Linked DNA regions of Mus musculus: all the other regions are reported to be linked to region 1. Evidence: microRNA targets listed by miRTarBase, many of them from high-throughput screens and not tested one by one. Region 1 holds a microRNA gene; each other region holds the end of a gene's coding sequence.
Evidence for each region. The annotated mature microRNA mmu-miR-3089-5p reads UGAGUUCAGGGACAGCGUGUCU and lies in region 1 at 5,016-5,037, shown strand. An mRNA with a match to its seed (bases 2 to 7 or 8) in the 3' UTR can be bound and repressed. Matches are read on the target gene's strand: a 7mer-m8 pairs with bases 2 to 8, a 7mer-A1 pairs with bases 2 to 7 and ends in A, and an 8mer does both.

Region 1 (7,119 bases):
CTGAAGGTCACAAATCACAGCACCCCCAGCCCCATGTTAACTGGGAAGAATCTCAAATGATCACCCACCCTTCTGGCCAGTCCTATACAAAGCAAAGCTTCCACTAGAGAGGTTGAGACATTTGCCCAAAGACCCACAGCAAGATATTGCCCCCTCGGTCTGTAGCTAGAAGGAGGGAGGTGGACCACCTGGGTTCTGATCTGGGTCTGTGACTCGCCTTTTGTGTCAAAGAACCTTTGTGCGTAGTGTCCTTGTCCTGGAGAATGGAAACATGAGGTCCCTTTATAAAGGGGGCTGTGCGGGAGGCAGTGCTGATGAAGACTAGAGAGCCCAGGGGCCTGCTGAGATCCAGAGATCCCCTCCAGCACCCAGTGGTCCTCCATGATGCTGGGCATTCTGCTGAGACCCAGAGGAGCAGCTGCAAGCTTGGCTGCCGGGCAGCTTTCCTGCTGCACACTGGCCACGGGGGGAAGCTAGCTGGCCACCGGATACTCCGCAGATAACCAGCTCCTGCTGTGTGATTTCTGCTGGGCTGGGAGTGGGGGTGGGGATCAGGGACGCCCCACCCCCAGGAGGTGAGGGGCAGAAAACAGGACTCCAAGCCAAGCAAGTGGAGAGTGCAAAGACCCAGCGCAGAAAGGAACAGAATGTGCCCTACCTAATCAGAGCTGGGGCCAATGGCTGGAGCCCAGAGCCACAGGGGGATGAGACAAAAAGGTGGCATCCAGGGGAAGCTGGCCATCAGTGGGGCACGTTGTGGCAGGGAACTCAACATGGAAGCCAGTTCTGTTGCTGAAGGAAGCAGCAGCCTGGTCTGAGTTCCAGGAAGATTTGCATGGCTGGCTTTAGGGAGGGATACCAGGTGGGCAGGGAATGTGGGAGAGGAGCTCTGGGAGGGGGCAGAGAGGGGTAGGTGCGCACAGCACAGGCCGAAGCAGTGGGAACGGGAACTTTGGGAAGAGTCCGCAATGGCTTAGGGGTGGCGATCTAGCTAGAGTGGGTGTGGCCAGAAGCAAAGGGCAGAAGGAAATTCCAAGAGAGCAGCCCCTGGCTCCAGCGAAGACCACCCCAGCTGCACTTGCAGCCCAGGGCGCTTGGCAGGACCTCTCCACTTAAGACTGGTGGTTCAGAGACCAGCGTGGTCGGAGCCCCGGAGCTCGGGTCTCAGAGGCCCCGAGGGTTGTCTAAACTGCCTCGTGGGCACTCTCAGCACTCAGGTGACCAGCAGATGGCTGTCTGTAGGGGCGTGGCCCCAGCTGACTCTCAGCCTGCAGTGCCCACTCGGTCCTGAGTGTGCACAGCCCGCGGAGGACAAGCAGAGGTGGTAGATAGAGCTGAGGATCCTGGGAGGAAGCTAGCCACCGTGTGCTCCCTTCTGGGCACCAGAAAAACCCGGGAGCTAGAAATACAAACCCAGCCTTGGAGGCCTGTATCTTTCCTAAGGAAGGTGGATTTGTCAGGGTGGAGGGAAGGGATTTGATTTAGCTGCTTGCTAGCCTGATTTATAATTTGTAAACACTCAGGCAGGCCTGTGGGTCTCTGCATATTTCCAAAGTCCAGAGAAGCAGCCTTCTGGACCAGTAGCTGACTAACCCTTTGCTATGCTTCAGTCCTTCCCAGTAGTCCTTTCTTTGTGCTTGCCCCAGGGGTCCTCTGCCATTGGGGGTTCAGTCCCAGCTTATATTCCTGGAGACCACAAGGCTCTCCTCTGTCACTGGTCAACTACAGGGGGTTTGCTGGGGTCTGAGCAGCTGGGCACAATTCCACCTCTACTGCGGGAAGCAACACTTCCCTGAAGAGCAGAAGAAGCCTGTAAGAAAGGCAGCCCTGAGATGGCGGGGTAACCTTGAGCCGTTTGCTCTCCCGAAACCCCATCTTCCCAATGGTACCACTTGTGCTCACTCAGGCGCACCGTGGGACGCAGAGCCCACGTGTGCCCCGCATTTGTCAAGCACATGGCAGGGATTAGGAAGGGCGTGAGTTACATCATTCACTTCTTTTTACAGCTGAGAAAAACAAACCGAGGCTCAGCGAGGTGCAGCAGTCTGTCCAAGGTCACACAGCCCAGAACAGGACAGGGATGTCCCAGTTACACAGCACCCATGGGACTATGCGGCCGTAGGACTGCACCTCCTTCACCTATTCCCCGGTCCTCTCAACTCTCAGGCTCTGCAGGCTACGTGGGGGACACAGAGGTGGGTGGTGTGGGCAGAGCGCAGCTTGCTGGGAGGAACGGGTTAATGCGCTCCGCCGCATTGGGCCGGCCTCCAGGAGAGCCAGCCAATGGGCATGCTTGGTGATGAGGTAATGCCAGGACGCGCAGAGTGGGTGGGGCTTGAGTGGACCCCTCTGCTCCTTCTGACTTTCTGCTCTCCTTAGCAACCCCTCACCTTTGACCTTGATATCCCGGCTCTTCTTCCAACCTTGAGGGACTGGGATCATCAGCCCCCTGCAGCACTGAGCCTCACGCACTGCTGCAGATGTTCAGATGCATCCTAGCCTGAATAACACCCCCTGGACCTCAGTTTCCCTAGATGTAATTTCTTAATTGTCAAAGTCCCTCCCAGTGGGGTACCTGCATGGATCCCCAGAGCAGCAGGCAGCCTTGCCTTGCCTTTGACCTCTGCCCCGTCGCAATGGTTCCCAGAATCCGGGGCCAAGGAGTCACTAGGCCAGTCACACCCTTCACGTGGTCCCGACCCTTGGGTGCCTCTCCTGACTGATCCCACTGACCCCTTCCTCCTAAGCTAGGAACTAGCTAGCCACACAACAGCCGCAGCAGCAGCAGGCTCGCAGCGGTAGTTAGATGACAAAGTTCACCAAACCACTCGGCCTAGCAGAGCTGGGTTAGTTAAACGTCTACTACGGGCCCAGAGCTCCGGCTCCGTGTGGCCTGGTGCCCTACAACCCTCCTGTTGTCGCTATATGCTGAACGCCACCCGGGCACGAAGCAGTTAACGCCCTTGCAGCGAGCTGGCAGAGCCGGCTGCCCGGCTTATTAGTCAGCCGGCGGGGAGGGGGCGGAGGGAAGGAGGGAGGAGGGAGGGAGGGGTTCAGTGGAGAGCCGCAGAAAGCTATTCTCAGGGGCTCCCGTGTGTGGGGAGGGCGGCTCAGCGGGAACTGCCGCTTCCCAGAAAGTTGATTATTTTTAACCCAGGAAGAAGAAAGGAAGGAGGCCCAGGGAGGACTCAGAGAAGACGAGGAAAAGAGAGGAGAGGAGAGAAAAAGAGGAGAGGAGAGGCGAGAACAAGGAGAGGAGAGGAGAGAGAGGAGAGGAGAGGAGAGGAGAGGAGAGGAGAGGAGAGGAGAGGAGAGGAGAGGAGAGGAGAGGAGAGGAGAGGAGAGGAGAGGAGAGGGATAGATATTTGGAGGGAAAGGACAGGCAGGGCAGGGAGGAAGGAAGATGAGGCTTAGATATCCCACAGCAAGGGTTGGGGAACGCTCTGGGCCAATTCTGGAGGAGGAATAGATGTGGGGTACCCACCCCTGCTGGACCTACCATCCTCCTGTCCTTGTGGACTGGCCTAGTTGCATGGGGGCTTGAGGGAGGAACTGGGCACAAGGCAGTTCCAGCTCCTGGGAGTGCTCTCAGGTCAGTGGGCAGCACAATGGCACAGCCTTGTTCTGGCCTTCACGGTGACTCCTGGGAGTCTGCATGGAGGCCCTGGGAAAGAGGACAAAGAGGTTGCCTTGGTGCTTGGGCCGAGAGGGATTCACTTACGGGGGGGGGGGGGGGGGGGGTGTGGGCCCAAGTCACTTCTCCTACCTCTAGGTGGTGTCAGGCTGGGAAGGCACCTCAGAAGCAGGAGCTGGGTTCACAGAGTGAGACAAGCCAGAGACAGCTGGCCCACAGGGCTCGCAGGCGTGGCGAGCCATAAAAAATGCATTGGGTGCCCCCAAGAAGGCTGAAATATCAGGGACTTAGGCAGACTGGCTGTGTGTGTGATCTCAGCAGGGGTCAGAAGTGTCCTAGAGAAGGGTGCATGAGGATCTACTGGGATGACTAACTCAACTAATGCGAAGCCAGGGAAGACAGGACTGGCAGTCTTCAGGCCTCAGATCCAAGTGGTCTATCAATTCCTGCCTCTGGAAGGTTTGGCAGGCTTTTATGGAGCAGAGAGAACAGGTCTCCAAAGCTCCCAGAGGCTAGGAACTGGGGGCTGAACTCAAGCTTGGTTTGTGCCATGGTGGAAGACCAGCCTAGTGCAGATGCGGGAGGAATCAGAAAGCTGTCTGGGCTGGCTATGTGACAGGGAGGGCTGGTGCTGTTCAGGAGGCAGGGGACAACTCACAGGAGCAGGCTGGCAGCTTCGCATATTTGAGGGTCTGGTAGAGATGGCTCAGAGCGCCAGGTGAAAGGAAGACCCAGTGGGGAGGGCTGAGGGAGCTGCAGTGGCATTGCAGAATATGCTAGAATCCTGGTGGACCGGCTGATCCCGGTGGGTCTGCAGTATAGGCAGGGGAATCAGGTTTGTTATGGTAATGGTGCAGAGGGAGAGAGGAGGGTTCTGTTCCTATAATTGAGTACTGGGAGACACAGCAGACAAGACAGTGTGTGGCCAGCAGGGCTGAGCCTCGGGCAGGCCAGGCCGATGCCTGGAGCCTGGGAAGGTCCTGGGGACAGATCAAGAGGCCTCGGGTGTGATGTAAGGGCAGGTATGCATGTTTCTTGCTCTGAGGGCCTTGTCTCTAATTGAGAAGGATTGAGAGGGACCCAGCTACCCCTACCCAGTCACTCTGGAGCCCTGACCAGCTTCAGGCCTTTCCCCAGCAGTAGGTTGGGACTGCTCATTACCTCCACAGGATGTAGAAGGTGCCCACCCACCAAGTCACTCCCCACCCGGCCCCCAACCCCAACTGCTGGCAAGAGGAGAGCAGAGTTGAGCACACAGTAGGTCCTTTCCATGAGCCTAAGCTAGTGGGTAGAGTTAGAGCTACAGACTGGGCTGAGAGCAGAGCCCCTGCCCAGATGCCCTGGAACAGGGAGATAAGGGGAACAGCTGGTGGCTTGCAACTGAGTTCAGGGACAGCGTGTCTCAGTTTCTCTGTCTGAGCATCTGCTGATCCTGAGCTGTGTTTTTAGCTGCAGAAACCCAGGGCCTTGAGGCTCCACCCCTACACTCTGAGCACCACTGCTGCCAACGCCAAGGGGGTCTCGGGAATGGCAACTGAGAGGAGGGGGAAGGTTCTAGGACACATATGGAATCCAAAGTGCTCATCTTCCAGCTCTGAAGGGCCTGCCACGGCTAATAACAGTCTTCCAGCCAGGCAGTGATGGCACACACCTTTAATCCCAGCACTCAAGAGGCAGAGGCAGGAGGGTCTCTATGAGTTCAAGGTCAGCCTGGTTTACAGAGTTAGTTCCAAGACAGCCAGGGCTGCACAGAGAAACCCTGTCCTGGCGGGGGAGGGTGGGCTTCCCATCAAAGCTATGCTGGCCCTGCCCTCTCACCTCCTCCCAAGGGTGAGAAGAATAAGGCCCAGATCTAAAGGACAGACCTGAAGCCACCCCACGGCTGACTGTGTTCTCTGAGCCCCCACCCCTAACCCTATCTACAAAGTGCCTGGCTCCTTGGAAGCAGAGGAGGGTAGGTGTCAGGCTGTCATTCCGTGACCCAAGGCTCCCCATCAGTATGACAAGGGTGTAGGCTAGAGCCCTCTAAAGTGGACAAGACCCAGACTTCCCAGCATCCACTCTGAGAAGCCTAGCTCAGAAGAGTTGGCCAGGGCCCCAGAGCTGCACCTCCTGCTCTGTCCCCATCAGGCATCTCTGAGCTGTGAGGAGCTGTCCCCTCAACAGTGCCTGTGGAACACAAAGAGGGGGGGAGCCCAAGCAGAGAAAGAGCCGCGGGCTGCAGGCGGGCAGGCAGGCTCAGAGCGGCTCTGCTCCGCTTTCTTCTTCCTCCCTCTCTCTTTGTTAAGCTCCTTTTCAGCTGCACAGGCAGAGCCTGGGTGTTCCGAGCTGACAATAATTGCTGCGTCTAGACAGTGTCTGGTAGGAGGCCTCCTTCTCTGTGCCTGCCGGCCTCCCCGAGGCTCCCAGGCCTGGCCCACAGCCCCTGCCCGGCACCCTCAGAGGGTTCCCACACCCCTGCCTCTCTGTGGATGCCATGCCCACCCCCCACCCCCCAGTCTTTCTGCCTCCTAATTCAGTTGGGAGTACAGCTCTGTCCTCCTACCCTTGGGTCCAAAGGCACCCCAGTCTGTTCTATTTTGTGGCCTAAAGTTCAGAAACAAGACACTGTCCAAGAAGCACTGGTAATGCCAGAGGCCTCTGAAGGAGCCAGAGCTCAGCGTAAGGCAGGTGGCTGTGCTGCATAGGCCAGGGAAGCTGCCTTGCTGGGTGAGCTAAGCCTGGACCCTCAGGGTTCAATTCTAAAATTTGATCTAGGTTCTTCTAGAGTTTTCCAACCCAAAGCCCAACAAAAAGACACAGGAATCAGTGTAAGGAAGACCAAGCATTTCCCAGACCACTTTAGGCTGATGGGGATCCGTGTTTTCAGGAGGCTGGGGAAGGAGAACAAGAAACAAACATTAGGAGTTCTGAGATCTGTGCTCAACTCAGCCCTGAAGCTCTGGAAAATTCCCCAGAGTCTCCTAGAGGGTGTTGGGGCAGGCACTCAGGGTGCCACAGACAGCAACAATAACAACCAGAATCTGCTCAGCCCTGGCCCGCTCTGAGCGCAGAGCAGAGCCGACTCTGCTTGCATCTTAATGTGCTTAACCCCCTCTAGGAGAGGGCCCTGGGAGACAAGGGGAGCTGGAAAAATCCAAACGAGCCTCTGATTAAGACCTTTTTTTGTTTTTATTTTTATTTTGTCTTTTGTGAGTGAGGGGGTGGTACGTACCTGTTCGTGTGGGGGTTTGCATGTAGGAGGGTCCGTGTGCACAGATGCAAGCCTGTGGAAGCCAGAGACAGAGGTCAGAGTCTTCCTCTATCACGCTCAGCGTGTGTTTGAGAAAGGGCCTCTCATTCAACCCAGAGCTCACTAATTCAGCTAGGCTGGCCAGCAAGCTCCCGGGATCTGCTTGTCTGCCTCCCCAGCCCCAGGGGTAATAGATACCACTGCAGCTGGCTTTTAAGTGGGTGTTGGGAATCAAACTCAGATCTTCATCCTT
Region 2 (7,119 bases), not on the chromosome of region 1:
ACTGGCTTCTGGAGTGGTAGAGGAATGGGCCAGCCTTCCTGGACTCCATCACGTTCGACTCCTGCCTCTCTCTGCCTCCAGCACCACTCCTTCCCTGCCTGGCTCTGTGATTTTGGCCTTTAAGGCCCATTACCGTCACCGTCTACTGAGCAAACTGGCTGCCATGCAGAGTGGGAAAGAGGGCACCTCCCTGGCGGAGGCCAGGGCTAGCATCACAGTTTTGGATGCTCTGCACATGGTGGCCGCAGCTTGGGCCAAGGTACCTCGCCAGCTCATTTTGAGCAGCTTTGTTCAAGAAGGGCTCGCTCCGGGCAAAACACCACTGTCCCTGGACAAAGACACTGAGATGTCACCAGTCCCTAGTGGGCTGAGCCAAGAGGAGTTTTCTCACTTTGTGGACCTGGAGGATGAGGACCCAGGGCCTAGAGTGTGCAAAGAGGAGACGGGTACTGAAGACAGTGGGAGGGAAGAAGATGGCTTTGAGCCCCTGCCCACCAAAGCCGATGCCCTGCAGGCACTGTGCACCCTGAGGAGGTGGCTTGAATGCAACAGTGCCTCTCCAGAACTCTTTGAGAAATTCTATGACTGTGAGGTGGAGGTGGAGCAGCTCTGCTGTCTGTGAGGAGGCATAGCTGCCTATTAGTCTCCCTCTCCTGTTTCCCATGGAAACGCCTCTCCAGAGACAGACTGGCTCTTTCCTGTGGAAATAGTATGTGGAGGGTGTAGAAGGGAAGGAAGTTGGAACACAAAGTCTAAGGTCAGAGTAAAAGTTGTTCAGGCCTAGAGTTTCTACGGATGGGGCCTCAAGAGTGGAAAGCTGGGCTGTGTAGCTTCTAGGCCCTGGAGAAACTTCTAGAGCTTTGTGGAGAGTTAGTCTAAATAGGGTAGAACCTAGAAAGGTGGACCGACTTCCTTTTTTTGTTTTTTGTTTTTTTTTTTTCTTTGAGACAGGGTTTCTCTGTGTAGCCCTGGCTTTCCTGGAACTCACTTTGTAGACCAGGCTGGCCTTGAACTCAGAAACCCGCCTGCCTCTGCCTCCCAAGTGCTGGGATTAAAGGTGTGCACCACCATCGCACAGCATGGACAGACTTCCTAACAGTGGCCCCATTCCTTGAATTTTTGTGTCAAAACCAATTCTGCTTCAGGAAATAAAGTTTTTAGCCACAAAGTCAGGATGTGGAGGACCTTTCTTCCTTCCTTCCTTCCTTCCTTCCTTTCTTTCTTTCTGGAATGTAATCTTGTATAGCCTGGGTTGACCTTGAACTTGCCCTATGACTGAAGATGATTTTGCACGTCTGCTTGCCTTCCCCTCTAGGGCCAGGATTATGGGGGTTTATGTGATACTCTGTATTAAACTTTTTTTTTTAAGATTTATTTATTTATTATATGTAAGTACACTGTAGCTGTCTTCAGACACTCCAGAAGAGGGCGTCAGATCTTGTTACAGATGGTTGTGAGCCACCATGTGGTTGCTGGGATTTGAACTCCGGACCTTTGGAAGAGCAGCTGGGTGCTCTTACCCACTGAGCCATCTCACCAGCCCTCTGTATTAAACTTAACCCAGGGCTTTGAGCATACTGAGCTAGTGCTATGCCTACTGAGTTTCCCCCCCCCCCCCCCGCCTCCTCAAAGCATGGCTTACATGAGAGAAGGGTGAAGTCTTTCTATCAGGAAGAACCCTTCATACACGGACCGTGCTTACAAGAAGAAAACTTGAAGAAAGGTCTCAGGGCGACTCAGACCTTTGCAGTTCTTACCACTTCAGCATCAGACTGTGTGGTGTAGTGGCCAGCAGCAGGGCAGGGCAGGACAGGACAGGGCAATGAGCTCTGGAATAATCATTCATTCACTACACTTTTCATCCATTTATTCATTTTACCACAGTTCCTTTTATCATGATATCCTATGTGGCAAGATTGCAAAGGTGACATCCCTGCAAAGCAGGACCAGAAAGCAATGACAGGCAAGTGCAGAATGCTTTGGCCCTACAAAGCCCAGTGAAACCCAGTAGAGGTGAGCTGGTTTTGCTGTTGTTTGTATGGTGATAGCGTTCTGGTTTTGAGACAGGATCTCACTATGTAGAGCAGGCTGGCCTTAAATTCTTGGAGTTCCACCTGCTTCTACCTTCTGAGTGCTGGGATTAAAGGTGTGTGCCATCGGGGCTGGAGAGATGGCTCAGTGGTTAAGAGCACTGACTGCTCTTCCAGAGGTCCTCAGTTCAAATCCTAGCAACCACATGGTGGCTCACAACCATCCGTAATAATATCTGATGCCCTCTTCTGGTGTGTCTGAGGACAGCTACAGTGTACTTACATATAATAAATAAATCCTTAAAAAAAAAATTGTGTATGCCACCATGCCCAACCTTGGTTTTCTTTTTAATTTTTATTTATTATTTATGTGGGGTGGGGGAAGCACACACACGTGCACACTTGCTACCATGCACAAATGTAGGTCAGAAGACAGCTTTGTGGACTTGGCTCTCTCCTTTCTCCTCTATGTGGGTTCTGGGAATCAAACTCAGGTCTCCAGGTTTTTGTGGGAAGCGCTTTTACCTGCTGAGCTGTCTCACCAGCCTGTGATGAGTTTTGATATTGGAGCCCTGAATAGAGAGAAAAGTGGAAAGGATAGCAAACCAAAGGAAGTAAGCATGGGCCAACTGGGGGTGAGGGAGCACCCCTGGGTGTGGCATATGTGGAGGTGAGATGTTCTGAGATCCCCCCAGTAAATTGGACATAGTAACCCTGTGTTAGCAGTGGTTAGCTGTAGGTGTTTGCAGTATGGGTATATTACACACACTGTATGGAACACTTACCTGGGAGCCATTTGAGGTCTAGTATTTTGACCTATGACCAGGTCATTCATTACACGGGAAACTTGTTTATATTGGCAGATACCCTGTAGCTCTTGTCTGTTTCATGGCCAGTGTTATGGTGGCACTCGGAGCTGAACTGCTGAACTGTGTTCTCCCGGTGAGTGGAGAGAGAAGTCTCAGAGGACAGATGCAAGTGTGCCGTGTAGGAGAATAAGGTGCAGATCAGCTAGTCACTCATTCAGTTGGCAATGAAACCAACACCACTAAATTCTTTTGCTTTTGTCTTCTATCTTTTTTTTATTTTTTTATTTTTTATTTTTTTTTTTTTTAAGATTTGGAAGGTTTTAGAAATCTGCCTGCCTCTCCCTCCCAAGTGCTGGGCTTAATGGCATGCACCACCATGCCCGGCACAACAAAGGCTCCTAACAATGAACTGTCTCTGTAGCACAGCTCCCCATCTCTCTGTAGGAGTGCTGGTTCATAGATCCACACCAGCACATCAGGATTTCTCTGTGGTTTCCAGGGATGGAGTTAGGGGTGTGCAGCAGTGTTCTTAGCATTGGGTCCTCTCCACGGCTCATCTTTTGCCTTTTGTATTACAGCCGTTCTAATAGAGGTGACATAATTAATGTACCATCGCACTTTTCATCTCATTTCTCTTAATAATGCTCAAAGTCATTTAACATTCCTGCGTCTTTGTGTTTAACCCACCTTAGCCTTCAACTTTTGTCTGCCGACAGTGTCCAGAATGGTGGATTACAGATGTGTATCCAGAAGGGTGGATTACAGATGTGTATCCAGAAGGGTGGATTACAGATGTGTATCCAGAAGGGTGGATTACAGATGTGTATCCAGAAGGGTGGATTACAGATGTGTACAGGCTTGCCCAGCTCTTTTGTTGGTTGGTTGGTTTTAGTGCTTGTTTTGAGGCAGAGTCTCATCATGTACCGCTGCTGACCTGGGACTCACTGTGTAAACCAGGCTGGCCTTTGACTCACAGATCTGCCCTTGCCTCCAACTGGGATTAAAGGCACATAACACCTGGCCCAGCCCCTTGTCCAGCTCTTGCTGGCTATCTGTATCTTTTTCATGAAAGATGTCTACTCAGAGCTGGGTGTAACACTCTGTCTCAGCAAGAAAGGAGAGAGGGGGCTATATGTTTAGGTACTCTGCTCATTTCATCATGGGTATTGGGGAATTCTTCACCTTTCCAACTTAAACCTGTGGAACACTCAGTGGCTCATCTCTAGAAAAATGTGTAATTGTTTCTTCTGAATAGAAGGGGGCACATAAAGATGATGCAATATGCCAGGCACTCGGGAGGCAGAGGCAGGCGGATTTCTGAGTTCGAGGCCAGCCTGGTCTACAGAATGACAGAGTGACAGAGTGTCTCTGGACAGCCAGGGCTACACAGAGAAACCACGTCTCAAAAAAACAAAACAAAACAAAACAAAACAAAACAAAAAAAAAACAAGGAGGAGGAGGCTGGGAGGCTGGAGAGTTGGCTCAGTGGGTAAGAGCACTGACTTTTCTTCCAGAGGTCCTGAGTTCAAATCCCAGCAACCACATGGTGGGTCACAACCATCTGTAATGAGATCTGATGCCCTCTTCTGGTGTGTCTGAAGACAGCAACAGTGTACTCACATTCATAAAATAAGTAAATCTTAAAAAACAAAAAAGGGAGAAGAAGAAGAAGAAGAAGAAGAAGAAGAAGAAGAAGAAGAAGAAGAAGAAGAAGAAGAAGAAGAAGAAGAAGAAGAAGAAGAAGAAGTTGTTTCCCCAAGGCCTAAGAATTCAAGGTTTAGTATGCTAAACTCCAGGAGGCAGCCCTGACCCCCACAGCCTTGCCTCGTGTCCCCTATTTCTCAGACTTTAGGAAGTTACCTCACATCCTGCTCAGTTAGCAAGCCTAAAGCATGTTTGTAAAACTTTATTTTTCTGAGTCATGGTCTCTTGTAACCCATTCTGGCTTTGAACTTGATATCTAACAAACCTTGACCTGACCTTTTGCCCCCACCTACCTAGTGCTAGGATTATAGGTGTGTGTCACCATGCCCCGTGTACATGATAAGGGGACCAATCCAGAGCTTTCTGTGTGACAAGCACTCTACCCCTGAGCTGCGTCCCTGGACTCTCAGAACTGTTTCTTGGACAGCCCACTAAGCTTTGATGATAAGGAGCTAGGAGTAAAGTCTACTCCATGCATGGTTTAGGGTTTTTGTAGGCCAGGCTAGCCTGGAACTCACATAGATTCTCCTCCTCTGCCTCCTAAGTGCTTATAGGCATTTTAAAGATTAAAGGCAGAGTTCTTGGTTTAGAGAGGCAGATATACTCAGAATCATACAGAAAAGACACTTGGAGTGTGTAATTACAGACCAAGAAAGAGGGGTGACATGAAAAACATGTCTAGTGGTTCTCCGTGTGTGGCCTACAGCTGCAGCTGGAACCTTAAGGAAATATACATCCTCCTACCCTCCCAAACCTCCCCAAACCCTAAGGTTTGACTCAGCAAAATACTTGAACAAACCCTCCAGGTGCTTTGGAACCATTGGTTGGCATAGCTGGGGGAAACAGATGTCTTGAAGGAGCCAAGAACTGAAAGATGGGGAGTTACAAACTCGGGGAGAAGAGCGTGAGCAGATCCTTGCAGCAGACCCGGATGTGTTCAGCAGAAGTAGGCTAAGGCGATCATCAAGAGCAAAAGTCTATGGCATCCTCTGCTGTGGGGAAGGAGCTCAAAGTAACAAGAGGCTGTGGAAGAATACAGTCTAGCTAGCTAGCTATTTATGGTTTTTCGAGACAGGGTTTCTCTGTGTAGCCCTGACTGTCCTGTCCTGGAACTCACTCTGTAGACCAGGCTGACCTTGAACTTAAATAAATCTTTGAAAAAAAAAAGTATTAAAAAAAAAACAAACAAACTACCACCACCACACCAAACTGGCTAAGACCCAGGCAATGGAGGAACACACATTTGATCCAGCACTCAGGAGGCATAAGCTGGCAAATATTTATTTATTATATGTAAGTACACTGTAGCTGTCTTCAGACACTCCAGAAGAGGGCATCAGATCTCATTACGGGTGATTGTGAGCCACCATGTGGTTGCTGGGATTTGAATTCAGGACCTTTGGAAGAGCAGTCAGTGCTCTTACCTGCTGAGCCATCTCTCCAGCCCTATTGTTGTTGGTTTTTGTTTTTAATATTTTTATGCTGGGTTAATGCCTTTAATTCCAGTACTCAAGAGGCATAGTCTGGTGGGTCTCCCTCGCAAGGCCAGCCTGAACTACAGAGTGAGTTCCAGGACAGCCATGGCTACAGGATTTCATGGAGAAATCCTGTCTTGAACCCTCCCTCAAAATATTTTTTTAAATTATTTTGTGTGTATGGGTATTTTTGCCTCCACGTGCATGCAATTCCCATATAAGCCAGAAGATGGCATCAGATCCCTCAGAGTTACAGATGAGTGGGCTGCCGTGTGGATGTTGGGATTTGAACCTGGTTCCTCTGGAAGAGCAGTCAGTGATCTTAATCACTGAGCTATCTCTCCAGCCCCTCAGGCAGTTTTAAAATCTAATTTAGCAATTGAGATAGATAATCAGACAAATGTAAGGAAAGATGTGATCGAGGAAGAGACAACTTGGAGAGGGGCCAGGGCATGGACATGGGGGTTGGAAGGCTCACAGCTGTGTGTGATGGATGGGAACAGAGACAGAAAGGGATCATCAGTACTGCATCAGATGAAACTTTATTTCATGTATCTGTTCAAGGGACAGAAGTACAGCCTTGAGCACAAGACTGGCACAAACTAACTACTCAAAGGAGGAAAAACAAAACAAAACTAACCATGAAGCACTGCACACAGAGGTATGACTGAGGTAGGCAGGAGGGCTGGGGTGCTTGGGTACCCCATAATCAGCACAGATGAGGTTGGAAGGACCCCTAAATGAAGAGCTCTGCCTGGATCTTGAGGAGAGTGGGCCACTGGAGGACAATGACACCACCCATGGCATTCCTGGGACTTGAGGGCCTACACCAGGAAGTAACCAAGAGAAGGCCACCTGGTGGGGCAGGCCAGCCAGGAGCCTAGGACCTGGGTTTCCCTGAAGGTAATGGAAACCCCTGAAGGATTCTGGACATGAAGAAGACAGAAGTCATCCTCCTGTTCAGGGAGTGGTTTGAACTCAAGAGCTGGGTGATGCCAGCACAGTGGCTGGTCTCTGAGTGCTCCTTCAGAGGGGTGGCTATGGCATGGTGGCCTTGGTGATTTTTATGGACTTCGTGCCCCTGCTGCCTGGACAGAAGTG
Region 3 (7,119 bases), not on the chromosome of region 1:
CAAAAAGACAAAAAAAAAAAAAAATCAAACCAGCATTTGTTTTGGACCACAGACCTGTGTCTAGCCTGGGCACACCTACCAACTCCAGCATTCTAACACCTGAATGATACACACTGCTTCTTTGAAGGGCCATCATTCAGCTACTTGATGCTTTTCAGATATGCATATCTGCCATGTGAGGCCTATGAACCTAACTTGGCTCTGTAAAAGCAGGGAGAACTCTTTATCTGAGCCATGTTCCTATCTCCTGGAACGCTTCTATGCACCTTTCTCCTCCCCACACTTTTTCTGAGGGTGACAGCCAGAGAACCAGTCTTTGTAGAGAAAAACCCTTCTGTACAGCATATGGTAGAATCTCAATACATGGAATTAAGAGAAAGACTTAGGAAGGAAACCATTCCCACCAATGGAAGAAATCAACTTGTTCACAGAGGATCCACCAAACGAAGAAAATTCATATATAATCAGCTACCGACAGACACACCAGGCTCCCTATCCTGAGGCCACTGTCATGGGTTGGAAGCACCGGTGCAGGGTCTCACAAACATTTCAGGAAGGTTCTCAACAATTCACATCAAAGAAGTTGGAACTGAGACACTGGCTAAGAGCCTAGGGCTTGAGGCAACCTGAGAATGGTCAGAACTGAGAGCGTGCTGTCAATGCTCTTCTGGATTCCCCTGAAAATATCCAAACTAGGTAACTGCTCCTAACTCAAGATGGCCTGAAGAAAGAGGGAGAGAGAACGTGTGATTGAGAAGCTGATAGCAGCCACTCAAGAGAATGGCACATTGTGAGTCGTGGCGGAAGAGCAAGCGGCTTCACTAAAAACAAGATCCCGAGGTGATGTTGCTAATTCCATACAATGGATACGGCTGAGGCTGAGGCGGTTCATGGACCATATCCACATCCACACTTACGTGGGCAGTCTTTAGGTTCCTGGGCAGTTTGCAGTGTGCTGCTTTCCCACTGACCATTCTTAGAAATGCTGGGGTATTGCAGCCCAGTGTGCTCAGTTCTGTAGAGCGCAGTCAACTGGACACTTATGAAAGCCATGCATTTTCAGCTCCATATCAAGAATAAAGTCCCAGTCTCTCTGCCTCTAGGAACTGTATCTAACAGACACACCCACCTCTTCTGTGAACTGTTTGCAACACTAAAGCTCAGAACATTTGGCTCTCCACAAGACTAGAATAAGAGCCTTGTGATGCTTTACCGACTCCTCAGGAAAACCAGAAAACCCGTTGTATAGTCAAGCTCTTTGCACCAACAGACCCTGTATTTGAGCTCACACTGATCTGGATGTATATGAGCTTAGCAGATATTTTTGACTCTGAATTTGTCTATAAGATGAGGGTGCCTGGGGCTGGAGAGACAGTTCAGTAGTTAAGAGCACTTGTTTTTCAGAGGACTGGGGTTTGAATTTCCAGTTCTGAGGGATTCAGTACCTCTTCTGACCTCCATGGGCAGTAGGGATGCACATGCTGCATAGACACACATTTGAGCAAAACACTCACATACATAAAACACAAAAGAAAACTGAGGAGGCTGGCTAGTTTCTTTCCCAGCTATCCATGGAATCAAACAGATAAACCCACACAAACCATACAAGTCATGCTGGGCTTATTTTGTTTTGTTTTTGAGACAACGGGGTCTCACTACCTAGCTCTGTTGTCCTAGAACTCACCCTGTAGACCGGGCTGGCCTCTATTTCACAGAGATCCACCAGCCTCTGTCTCCTGAGTGCTAGGATTAAAGTCACGTGCACCACCATGCCTGGCTGCTGTTGGTTTTCAAAGAAAATGCTGAGTAGCCTTCCCTATCTGAAAAGAAAAATCCAGGGTTTGGCTTGTAGCTCAATGGCAAAAGCCCTGAGTTCAATCTCCAGAACCTGAGAAAGCTAAAAAGCAATCCCAAGCCTGAGCTAACAGACGGAGTCTCGTGTGCCTCTCACCTCAGCCATGCTGTGCTCTGCTGTGTGTGACACGGAGCTATCACTTCCGTGCCTGTACCACATCTAGCACTGTCCTCAGTCTTTTTTTTTTTTTTACAAGATTTATTTATTGGGCTGGCAAGATGGCTCAGTGGTTAAGAGTGCAGACTGTTCTTCCGAAGGTCCCGAGTTCAAATCCCAGCAACCACATGGTGGCTCCCAACCATCTGTAACAAAATCTGATGCCCTCTTCTGGAGTATCTGAGGACAGCTACAGTGTACTTACATAAAATAAATAAATAAATCTTTAAAAAAAAAGATTTATTTATTACTATATGTAAGAACTTCTTCAGACACACCAGAAGAAGTCATTCGATCTCACTACAGATGGTTGTGAGACAACATGTGGTTGCTAGAATTTTAACTTAGGACCTTCAGAAAAGCAGTCAGTGCTCTTAACTGCTGAGCGGTCTCTCCAGCCCATCTTTTTTTTTTTTTTTTTTTTTTTTTTTGGTTTTTCAAGACAGGGTTTCTCTCTATAGCCCTGGCTGTCGTGGAACTCACTCTGTAGACCAGGCTGGCCTCGAACTCAGAGATCCACCTGCCTCTGCCTCCCGAGTGCTGGGATTAAAGGCATGAGCCACCACGCCCGGCTCATCTTTTGTTTTTTGAAATAGGGTCTATGTCCTTGTCTGGCCTGGAATTCACTCTATAGACCAGGCTGGCATCAAACTCAAGAGTGTTCTGCCTACATCTGCCTGCTGAGTGCTGGAATTAAATATGTCTGCTACTATACCCAGCCACCAATCTTTTTCTTTCAAAGTTTAAACTCTATTTGTCTGCCACGTGTGTGTAGGTAGCCACGGAGGCCAGAAAATAGCGATGGATCTCCTGGAGTATCACAGGCCATTGCAGGCTGCACAATGTGAAAGCTGAGTACGGAACTTGGGTCCTTCAGCAGCAGCAAGTGGTTTTTGTTGTTATTTTGAGACAAGGTCCTTCTGTATAGCCCCTGGCTTCCTTGAAACTTGGTATGTAGACCAGGTAGCTCTTGAATTCACTAGAGATCTGCCTGCCGGTACTAAAGGAGTGCACTACCACTCTTGGACACATTCTCTGTCTCCGTCTGTCTCTCATATTTTTGTGTATATGGGTGCTTTGCCTGCATGTATGTATGTTCACTACTTGTGTGCCTGGTATCTGAAGATGCTGAAGAGCTGGAGTTACAGTGACCATGAGAGTCCACATGGAGCGTCCACTGGAGTCCAGGTCCTCTGGTTGGGCAGGCAGTGCCCTGAACTACAGAGCCATCTCTCCAGCCACAGCATCAACCTTAACAGAACAAAACACAACCTTCTAGATCTGACAGGTTAAAATAAGAGCATGGGTCCAGAGAGATGGTTCCATTGGAAGTGCCTGCTGTGTTAGCATGAGGATTTGGGTTTGGATACCCAGTACTCATGCAGAAAGCATAGTACAGGGACTGTAAGATGGCTCAGAAGGGAAACACATGCCTTGTAAGTCTAATGACCCTAGTTTGTTCCAAGAACCTACATAAAGGTGGCGAGAACTCACTCTGAAGGTTGCCCTGTAACCTACACACATGCACTGCGGCAGGCACACATAAACATACTTAAATTTTAAAGTATTAAAAAAGCAATGGGGGCTGGTGAGATGGCTCAGTGGGTAAGAGCACCCGACTGCTCTTCTGAAGGTCCGGAGTTCAAATCCCAGCAACCACATGGTGGCTCACAACCATCTGTAACAAGATCTGATGCCCTCTTCTGGAGTGTCTGAAGACAGCTACAGTGTACTTACATATAATAAATAAATAAATCTTTAAAAAAAAAAAAATAAATAAAAAATAAAAAAAAAAATAAAAAAGCAATGCACAGCAGTACACATCTGTAGTAACCCAGCACATGAAGATGGAGCCAGGCAGATTTCCAGAGTTCCTTGGCTAGCCAGTCTAGCTGAATAGGCAAGTTCCAGGAAACCACCCGATGCTGACTCTGGCCTCTACACACACACTGGAATGCATTCAGTAACAAATCTACAGAATTCAGCTCCTTCAAAAATTTAGGTTACAAGAAAAATAAACCTGTAGGTGTATAGTCACCTATAGGTTACCTAACAAATCAACTTAAATACTAAGAATATGTGGGCTGCAGAGATGGCTCAGAGTTTGAGAGCACTGACTGCTCTTCCAGAGGTCCCGAGTTCAATTCTCAGTACCACACAGTGGCTTACAACTGCCTGTAACTTGTAGTCTCATGGATCACATGGTCTCTTCTGGCGTACAGAGAGATATACATGCAGATAAAACACCCACATATGCCAAGCATGGTGGTGCACACCTTTAATCCCAGCACTCGGGAGGCAGAGGCAGGCAGATTTCTGAGTTCCAGCTTGGTCTACAAAGTGAGCTCCAAGACAGCCAGGGCTATACAGAGAAACCCTTTCTCGAAAAACCAAACCAAACCAAACCAAAAAACAACAAAACCATCCACATACATGTATGGCTGCACACCAGAAGAGGGCATGTGATCCCACTACAGATGGTTGTGAGCCACCATGTGGTTGCTGGGAATTGAACTCAGGATCTCTGAAAGAACAGCCAGTGCTCTTAACCACTGAGCCATCTCTCCAGCCCAAACTTGTCTAGATTTTAATTCCAACAAACTATAAAAAACTTGACTGGTACTTGGTAATAAAACTGTCAACTTGGGCTACAGATATGGCTCAATGGCTAAGAGCACCAACTGTTCTTCCAGAGGTCCTGAGTTCAATTCCCAGCAACCACATGGTGGTTCACAACCATCTATAATGGGATTGGATGCCCTCTTCTGGTGTGTCTGATAGCGACAGTGTACTAATACATAAAATAAGTTAATTAATTACAAAACAAAACAAAACAAAACAAAACAAAACAACAAAACCACGTCAGCTGTCTTCACTGAACCCTGTGATCAGTCTGTATAGCACACCAACGTGAAGACTGTCACAGTACTCAGAGTAATCCACTGGTGGTGGTAGGTGGGGACACGGCTAAAATTGACCATAAAAACTAATTCTCAGGACCAGGACACATGGCTTTGTCACACTAGTGCTAGTTTCTTTATTTCTGTGCATTTGTCAGAACTTCCATAATAAAATATTTCTTCAAAAATGAATTGTTTTGATACTGTGATATTATAAAACATTAATTTCTCACAAAGACATATTGAAGAAAAATAAAATTTTGGCTATCGCATTTACTAGTGAATTAGTTTACATCTTGTAGTCACTTAGACATCAATCATAAAGGCTGTAAGTCACTGCAGGTTAGTGGGATCGATGAATGGCCACACAAAGTTAGAATTCCAGGACCCAATCAGAAAAGTCTAACTTAGTAGCATCACTCCTGTGTGCACTCTGAAGCCAGACAGACCTAGGCTTGTGTCCAACTGCACTGACCCATCTACCAGCTCAACTGTCTTCTCAGCAGATCATTACCTCCTGTGGACAATGGGCAGCATGCCCATAAAGTAGGCTAATAACACTCCTTGATAAGGGCTGGAGAGGTTAAGATCACTGGCAGCTCTTGCAGAGGTCCTGAGTTCAGTTCCCAGCACCCACATGGTGGCTCCCAATGGTCTGTAATGGGATCTGGTGCTTTCTTATGGCTTGCAGGCATATAGGCAGGCAGAACACTGTATACGTTAATAAATATATATTTCTAAAAATTGATTATATCTGAGATTCAAACTAACACTGTAACAATCAAGGTATACTACATTCCAATTTTTGCTTTAAGATTATTCTGAATATCTTAAAACGTCAATGTCTGAAGAGAATATGTAGTCCAGGTTGTGGTAGAACTTGGAATGTAGGCAGAGATCAGCGTGTATTCTGAAGGTCCTGCCCACACCTCCCAAACGCTGGGGATGCAGGCAACATGGCCCTGGCCAGGTTTGAAAAAAGTATTTCTAATACATCATGAAGAAATACTGAGACACAGTACTTTTGTAAAAAATGTTTTATCAATTCTACTTTTGTATAAAACACAAGGGAGAAACCTGGCCAATCAACACATGACTGTGACCACAGGGAAAGGGACTCATCAAACTCCGAGTCTAAAAACATACAGATGTGGCCTTTGTCTCGTCTACAGCAACCGTCTATGCTCTTCCGCACACCGCACTAGTCCCCTCTGCCCTGTTACAGACCGAGGAGAGCAGGCCAGCGACTCACGTCCTAAGCAGTTTTCTGCTGCCCCTTCTTTCCAATCAGAGACTTGTGGATGTGCGGGATCACGCCTACAACACAATGAGTATGAGTTGTTATTTTTAATAATGTCCTTTAAATCTTAAAGCTTTAAAGCTAAAGTAAAAAACGATTATACCAAGGATGAACTTATTTAAGACCCTTCTCATTTGGATCCTACTGAACCTACAGGAGCCTGTGAACCCTTCTACAGGAACAGTAAACAAGGCTAACTACAGCCATGACATCTGTAAGGTATGTTCAAAACAGCTGAGAACTGCCAACTCACCTCACACCTTGACAGATTCCTAACACACAACTAGCTCAGTCCTGCCACGTCTACCACATTAGACAACTGCTCAGGGTCATGGCAGTTCTCTAGCATAGTTCAAAACAGATGGGGAAATATTTTAAACCTAAGGTTTGAAGTATCGCATCATTTAAAGAACAAGCTAAAATAAAAATAGCACTACACAGGACAGGTGGGAGAACAAGTATTTACTCAGATCACTATGACAAGGAGCAGAGAGGAACCCAGAGTGGCACTCAATTCGAGTGTTTACCTGTAGCATTTATGAGGACCTAGGATCACCCAAACACCAACAGAACTGTAGCACATTTAACACGTATGGAGTTAAAATCCATATGGCTTCTAGTTAACCATTCAAATACAGAGGACCATTAGTTAGAAATAATCTAGGCTTAATAATACGTACCGCCCCCGGCTATGGTGGCCTTGATAAGAGAATCCAACTCTTCATCACCGCGGATTGCAAGCTGTAAGTGACGTGGGGTGATGCGCTTCACTTTGAGATCTTTGGAAGCATTACCTGCTAACTCCAACACCTACAATGCATCCAGAGTAACACAATCAGGTCTCCACATGCAGAAGGGCTTCTCTAGGATCTATATGGAACCCGGTTTTTCCTGTGTACGTGTCCATG
Region 4 (7,119 bases), not on the chromosome of region 1:
CTCCAGTCTGTAGTTTAGTCCTGCCATTGTCTCATTTGATAAGAACAAAGAAAAGTTACAGAACTCTCACAAAACTGTCTTTAGGGTGGGCATCCCTTATTAGAAGGTATAGTTTTACAGTGTTTCACTTAACAATGGTCAATATTACCGTCTTCACTTGATACTGTATCTCCTACTTTGAGTTCATAGGCTGTTGTAGTTCCCAACAATTATCTTTTAAGTATTTAAAGACATAAATGTTAGTGCAGCTGGTGTTTGCACAGTATCTCCATGGGGTGGACAGTATCTCCATGGGGTGGACAGTATCTCCATGGGGTGGACAGTATCTCCATGGGGTGGACAGTATCTCCATGGGGTGGACAGTATCTCCATGGGGTGGACAGTATCTCCATGGGGTGGACTGGCTCCCATAATTCATCTCCACCTGTTCTTCCCCTCTCCCCATCCTATGTCTCCCCCAAAGGAGCCTGAGGTCCGCCCAGGAGCAAATCATCTTGGCGCCATCACCAGCCAAGGTTGACATGGCAATGACTCAGCTTACCCAGGACAATGCAGACTTCGCCACCCGAGATCGTTACCACCACTCCTCCTTCCTGAGCCGGGAGCAGTTGATGCCTCCCTACTAGGACCTCGCTGGACCCCACCTTTCTAGAAGCCGCTGTGGAGATGGGGGACCCAAGCCTCAGAACCTTTGGAAGTTGCTTCTACCAATAAGAAAACCCAAGACTGGTCTTCCCACCACAGCCTTGGACGCTGGAAATCACATTCCGGTCTGAAATGGCATGTCTAGCCAGATACTAGGTATGACTATGGCTTCCACGTGTGCCCAACCTGAAGAGTCCACAGGCACCAGGATGATCAGGTGACACCAAGACAACCAAATGTGGAGAATCAAAACGAGATTTCTTATTCTAAGGGGCCAAAATAAACACTTCTTTTTAATTTTATTGTTTTATTTTTTATTATTTTTAAAGAATTATATATATATACATATACTGTAGCTATTTTCAGACAGAAAATAGCATCACCAGAAGAGGGCATCGGATCCCATTACAGATGGTTGTGAGCCACCATGTGGTTGCTGGGAATTGAACTCAGGATCTCTGGAAGAACAGTCAGTGCTCCTAACTGCTGAGCCATCTCTCCAGCACCCTCCCCTGTTTTATTTATTTTGTAATGTATACTAACTACACTCACATGGTTCCCAAGCCACAGAGTATAGAAACCCCCTTCTCCCTGTTTCTCATCTGTTTGGTGTCCGTCCCCCATCACAGGGGCAACCACTTCTCATGCAAACATCAGCCACCTCTTTACAGACCCCTCCCATCTGCAAATGCAGCTCTGTTTACAATGCACTACATCCCGCTCTTCTCCCTTAATCTGCCATAGAAGCATTTCCATGAAGATGCTTACACAGTTTCCTCCTTATGTCTCTATGTCTGAATGTGCCTTAATTTATATACTCAGCCTCACGAGGACGGCATTTAGCTTCATTCTGATATTTTGCTATTACAGCCGCTTCTGCAAAGAGTCACTGTGTTTGTGTGCACAGTCGTGAAGGATACCTGAAGATAAATTCTCAGAAGGAGAATTACAGGGTGACTGGGGATGTACATTTGTAAGCTGTTACTGTTTGGAGAAATGCTTTTTAATTAAAAAGTCAATCAAATACCATGACCAGGCTTGATAGTCACCTGAAATCCCAGGACTTGAGAGATGGAGACAGGAGGACCAAAAGTTTGAAGCCAGTCTGGGCTACACAGTAAGACTCCACCTGTATCATGGGGAAGGGGGAGAAATTGCTATGAATTGCCTAACAGTGTTTCAAAAATATGCGCAGTCTGACTCCCTGACACCTTTGCAGCTGTTTTGCACCATGGATTGCCCGAGACGACAGGACTGTTGGTTCTTCTGTGATCTAGACTTGGCACTTATTGCAAGCATCCAGCAGTGGGGGCCAGGCCTCCTAATAAGCTCAGCCCCTAACCCAGGCTCCAGTTCCACTGCTGAGCGTGGAGGGATGGACTGCTGGCTCACCTTAGACTCTTCCATACGTTCTCCTGAGATGCTGTGCTCTCTCCTGCCGCACATGTTCAAAGTGACCCATCCAAGTTTTAGAAGAGTCATGGGATCTACATCTTTAACAATGCCATACACAAGTCAGTGCTGGGTATGCTGTGGACACATTTTATAAAACATCCATGTGTTGGATAGACAGTTTAGAGGAGGGGAGGGCTGGGAAGGGCATAAGGGGTCAGCTAGGTCTTGTAACCTTCTCTTCTGGAAAACAAGCTCTCACTCGTGATGGCAGGAAACAACCTAGCTCTGCTTAAGGAATAAGCGTCTGAGCACTTTTAGATACATACCTTTAAAGGATGCAGACTTTGGGTCTAAAGCAACACCACAAAAGGAGTCACCATTTCTGACCACTTGAGTTCTAGCCCCAGAAGCCACATGGTAGAAGGAGAGAATCAACTCCTACAAGTTGTCCTCTGACCTCCACAGTTGTGCTGTGACTTTTCAACACATAAACACACACACACACACACACACACACACACACACACACACACACAAACCTTTTAGAAGAAAATATCATAAAAACACAGTCTGAGGGGCTGGAGAAGTAGCTTAGTGGTTAAGAACACTCACTACTCTTGCGGAGGACCCAGGTTCAGTTTCCAACGCTCACATCAGACGGTTCACAACCCCCTGGAACTCTAGTTCCAGAGGATCCAATACCCTTTATCCTCCATGGACATTTGCATGCATATAGTGCACATAGCCTCATTCAGGCGCGCACACGTATACACACACACACACACACACACACACACACACGCACATAAAATTTTGTAAATATTTTTTAAAGGACACAGTTTGGAGAGATAGCTCAGTGGTCAGGAACACTTCTTTCTCTTCCAGAATACCCAGGTTCAATTCTCAGTACCTATGTGGTATCCTACAACTGACTGTAACTCCATTTCTACAGGATCAGAGATTCTCTACTGGCCTCTATAGGCACCAGAGAATGTAATATATAGCCATACATATAGGCAAAACATCAACACACATAAAATAAAATAAAATAAAATAAAATAAAATAAAATAAAATAAAGCAGAAGAAGACAGACTGAGCTGGTCATGGCTTACTAACAGGTTGAAGTAGGAAGATGGTGAAATAAAGCCAACTATTCATGAAGGGCTCAGGGTGACGATCCCTGAGGACCTCTTTTGGTTTGCTTTTGTTGACAGAGTTTCTTTTCTTTTCTTTCCTTAAGGATTTATTTATTTATTTATTTATGTAATGTATATGAGTACACTGTAGCTATACTGATGGTTGTGAGCCATCATGTGGTTGCTGGGAATTTTGATTCAGGACCTCTTCTCACTCCAGCCCTGCTCACTCCAGCCCTGCTCACTCCAGCCAGAGATTTATTTATTATTATATGTAAGTACACTGTAGCTGCCTTCAGACACACCAGAAGAGGGCATCAGATCTCATTATGGATAGTTGTGAGCCACCATGTGGTTGCTGGGATTTGAACTCAGGACCTTCGGAAGAGCAGTCAGTGCTCTTAACTGCTGAGCCATCTCTCCAGCCCTGTTGGCAGGGTTTCAGTGTGGTTCAGGCTAGCCTGGAACTCACTATATAGACCAAGCTAGCCTTAAACTAGCCCTCTGTCCTCAACCTCCAGATCAGAAGCCCCTTTTAAAGAGGAACCTGCATTCAAAAATTTTCCTATGGCTTCTGTAATTAATCACACAGATCAGATGTCTTTAAAACAGCAGAAATATATTTTTTTCATAGCTCTGGAGTACAGAAGTCTCGAATCCGTCTTACTGAGTCAAAAACGAAGGTCAAGCATCAAAGCTGAATCCAAGAATCCACAATCTTTGGGGGAGTTTGTTTTGTGCCTCCTCTAGCTTTGGTTGCTGCCAGCCACCTGGATTTGTGACCACATCTCTGCAGTTCAAAGCCAACACTGCAGGCTACAGCTGCCTTCTGGGAACATGTGAAGTCCATCTTCTACTCTGTTTTCTGAGGCATGCGATAATACAGAAGCCCAAGATAATCCAGAGCAGTGGTTCTCGCCTTTTTGCACAACGCAGAGAAGACTTTGACTGCATCTGCTTTTGCTGTTTTGAATGCTGCACACCAGGCTAAAAGAGCAACCTCTTTGAAGGAGGTAGTGAGCCGGGCTAGCCACAGAGCTTAAGTAGGATGATACCAAGGCCAAAAATAATGCACAGAAGATTCAAGAAGAGCATTGTCCAGTATGATTCATCTTACAGAGAAGAATAAGAGAGGACTGGCTCATGACAAAAATCAGAAACTGTACTCAGTGTCAGGGATTCCAAACAAAATGAGCAGCTCAGTGTTGGGGGGGGGGGGGCAGATGCTAAACAGGTTGATGTTCACAAGCTACCACTTCAGTAAGGGGAGGCAGGAAAGAGAGCGAGCAAGAGGACCAAGGCAAGGAGGAAGGATTTGAAGCTACACAGGAGCACGTGCCTCCTCGTGAAGAGACTGCAGAACACCTCTCTCAAGACCCTCTTCCAGAGGGGGGAGGAGTCAAGAGTTATCTCCTGGTTCCTGGTTCCCCAAACTAAAGGGGGAGCCTAGGAGGACATTAGCCACCTCCACCTCACTTGTAATGTGCATGCATGGGAGTGCCTAGTAGTTCTGCATGGAGTCAGCCTAACTGGAGTCCACCTGGAAGGGGTCATCACAGCTGAGATGCAACGAGTAGCCTGACTATGCACAGGTGGTACACATGGAACCTGAGGTGGCACATTAGCCAGTGTTATATAAAACCCGCATACTGCAGGTCACTACGATGAGTAAGCATGCTTGGCTCATTCAGACAAGGGTTAGGCATGTATTAGTCAGGATTCCCTGGAGGAACAGTACTGATGAAATACATAAGTCTTAACCACAGACTAGATGCCTTTAAAACAACAGAAATATATTTTTTTTCTTGGTTCTGGAGAACAGAAGTATAGAAATGATATTTCATTAGTACCTTACAGGCTGTGGTCCGGCTAGTCCAGCATTAACTATCTCCTGATAAAAGGGCCAAGAATCACATAGTTGTTTCATCCACGAGCCTGGACATCTAAGCTGCTTTTTTGTCTTCATTGGAGTCTCAAAGAAATAGGTTCTAATACCAGTGAAGGAATGCCTCAGCAACAGGATGGATGAACAGCAAGATAGATGAAAGTGAGGGCAAGCAGGCCTCACTGAACAGAGGTCATTTTCTCAGGTATCTCTGAAAATCGTGCTCATCTGCCCTCTAATTTACATAGCCAGATGCATCATACATAAATAATTTAAGTTGGTATTGAGTCTAAGGTTCAGGATTCAAGGAGTCTCTTCAGATTTCTGACTCAGTGTTTAAAGATGGGGCACAACCAGGCAGTGGTAGTGCACACCTTTAATTGAAGCGCTCAGAGTCAGAGGCAGAAGTATTCTTGAGTTCAAGGGAAGCCTGGTCTACACAGATAGTCCTGGGTCAGCCAGGGCTATCCAGAGGAACTCACAACCCCCCACCAAATAAAGATAGGATAAAGGGTGCCAGTTTACATATTCAATATTATTATTTATTTGCATATAAGTGTCTGCATGTATTCAAGGAGGACAGAGATATCAAAGTATCAACCATGAGCTGCATGATATAGGTGCTGGGACTTGAACTCAGGTCCTTACAAGAGTGGTATGGCTCTCGTATCCGCTGAGCCATCTCTCCAGCCTCAGTTTATATATTAGTTCTCTGAAAGGGCACAAAACTTCTGTCAACAACAGTGGTGGATAAATGCCACTGGTATCAGCAGTTTGAGTCAAGGCTCCAGTGTCTAACATTTTTTTCCCTCTCTAGTCTAAGAAGCTATAACCCCAAAGTTCCTTCAATAAGGAACTAGAACCAAGGCCCAGCCTGCCTTGTCAGCAGTATCATATGAAAAAGAGAGGCGGCAACTTCACATTTCTTACCTTTCAAATGGGGGTTCTGCCCACTCATGAACACGGCCCAACTTCTGACTAATCAGATAGGCTCCTGTCTTAAAACATTAAACCCATGAATGATCCAGGTTCAGGGGAAACCTAGCTTTAGATGAGGGTATAGCTCTTTCCTCTTGCCATGTCACAGTGCAGGAAGTAGAGGGTGGCCTGGTGGCGAGTTATCTATTGCTAAGACAAGATATCTAAGAGGAAGCCAAAAAGCTAGCCTAGACCTCTAAAGAGGCAAGGGCCAGTTATTTGAGGTCCTCAGGGTCCTATTGTCTGCTGTGTATCAACTGAAGCAATAGCTTGTACAAGTGAGTTGGGAAGATTATTTGTTCATTCATTCATTCATTCATTCATTCATTTTTGAGACAGGATCTCATGTAGCCCAGACTGGCCTCACACTCATTATCTCATTATGTAGCTGAAGATGACCTTGAACTTCCAAACCTCCTACCTCCATCCCCCAGGTACCAGGTGACATATTCTACCATGCCTAGTCTAGGTGGTGGGATTGAGCCCCTGGCTTCATGTATGATAGGCAAGCATGCTTCCCACTGAGCTACACTCCCAGCCCGGCTTTCTATTGCTGCTGCAACACATTCAGTGGCTTGAAACAGCCAAGGTTCTCTTACAGTTGTAGACATCAGAAGCTCAACATGGGTCTTCTGATGAAATAAGACGATGGTGGAGGCAGAGCCCTGGTCACTCTAGAACAGTAGTTCTCAACCTGTGGATCATAACCCATTTGGCAACCATCTATCACCAAAATTATTTAAATTATGATTCATAGCAGTAGCAAAATCACAGTTATGAAGTAACAGTGAAATCATTTTGTGGTTGGAGTCACCACAACATGAGGAACTGTATTAAACTCTATTAAAGGGTCCAGCATTAGGAAAGTTGAAAACCACTGCCCTAGAGACTAGGAGAGTTGACTGGTTTGATTCCTTTGGACTCAAGGAGCTGTCTTTATTCCATGATGTTGTGCCTTCCACCTTTACCCCAGCCATCAGCAAACACACTCTCTCCAGCCTCTGCTTCTCCATTACACTCTTTTTCTGCCTTTCTTGCCTCCCTCTTCTGCTTTTAGGGACCCTTGTGATTTACACGGG

Region 2: miRTarBase lists Tigd3 as a target of mmu-miR-3089-5p. Seed matches in the 3' UTR shown: 7mer-A1 at 981-987 and 8mer at 1,009-1,016.
Region 3: the mRNA of H2az2 is a reported target of mmu-miR-3089-5p. Seed matches in the 3' UTR shown: 8mer at 5,526-5,533.
Region 4: miRTarBase lists Slc12a8 as a target of mmu-miR-3089-5p. Seed matches in the 3' UTR shown: 8mer at 1,090-1,097.

The regions. Positions count from the first base shown.
Region 1 is chr2:30,716,207-30,723,325 of GRCm38, forward strand. Mir3089 (microRNA 3089) reads left to right here and starts at 5,004; the gene lies at 5,004-5,087. It overlaps Gm14488 (a long non-coding RNA gene), which reads right to left and starts at 4,981. Exons shown (of 4, transcript XR_866106.3): 1 at 3,767-4,981; 2 at 3,500-3,664. It overlaps Gm39782 (a long non-coding RNA gene), which reads right to left. Exons shown (of 3, transcript XR_866107.2): 2 at 6,849-6,900; 3 at 5,357-6,507.
Region 2 is chr19:5,885,191-5,892,309 of GRCm38, reverse strand. Tigd3 (tigger transposable element derived 3) reads left to right here. Exons shown (of 2, transcript NM_001362045.1): 2 at 1-1,172. The coding sequence ends at 622. Slc25a45 (solute carrier family 25, member 45) reads right to left here. Exons shown (of 6, transcript NM_134154.4): 6 at 6,542-7,119. Among named protein-coding and RNA genes, the nearest start is that of Tigd3, 5.4 kb to the left of the region's middle.
Region 3 is chr11:6,422,205-6,429,323 of GRCm38, forward strand. H2az2 (H2A.Z histone variant 2) reads right to left here. Exons shown (of 5, transcript NM_029938.1): 4 at 6,892-7,021; 5 at 5,022-6,228. The coding sequence ends at 6,167. Among named protein-coding and RNA genes, the nearest start is that of Ppia, 9.9 kb to the left of the region's middle.
Region 4 is chr16:33,662,462-33,669,580 of GRCm38, forward strand. Slc12a8 (solute carrier family 12 (potassium/chloride transporters), member 8) reads left to right here. Exons shown (of 13, transcript NM_134251.3): 13 at 464-1,677. The coding sequence ends at 626. Among named protein-coding and RNA genes, the nearest start is that of Heg1, 18 kb to the right of the region's middle.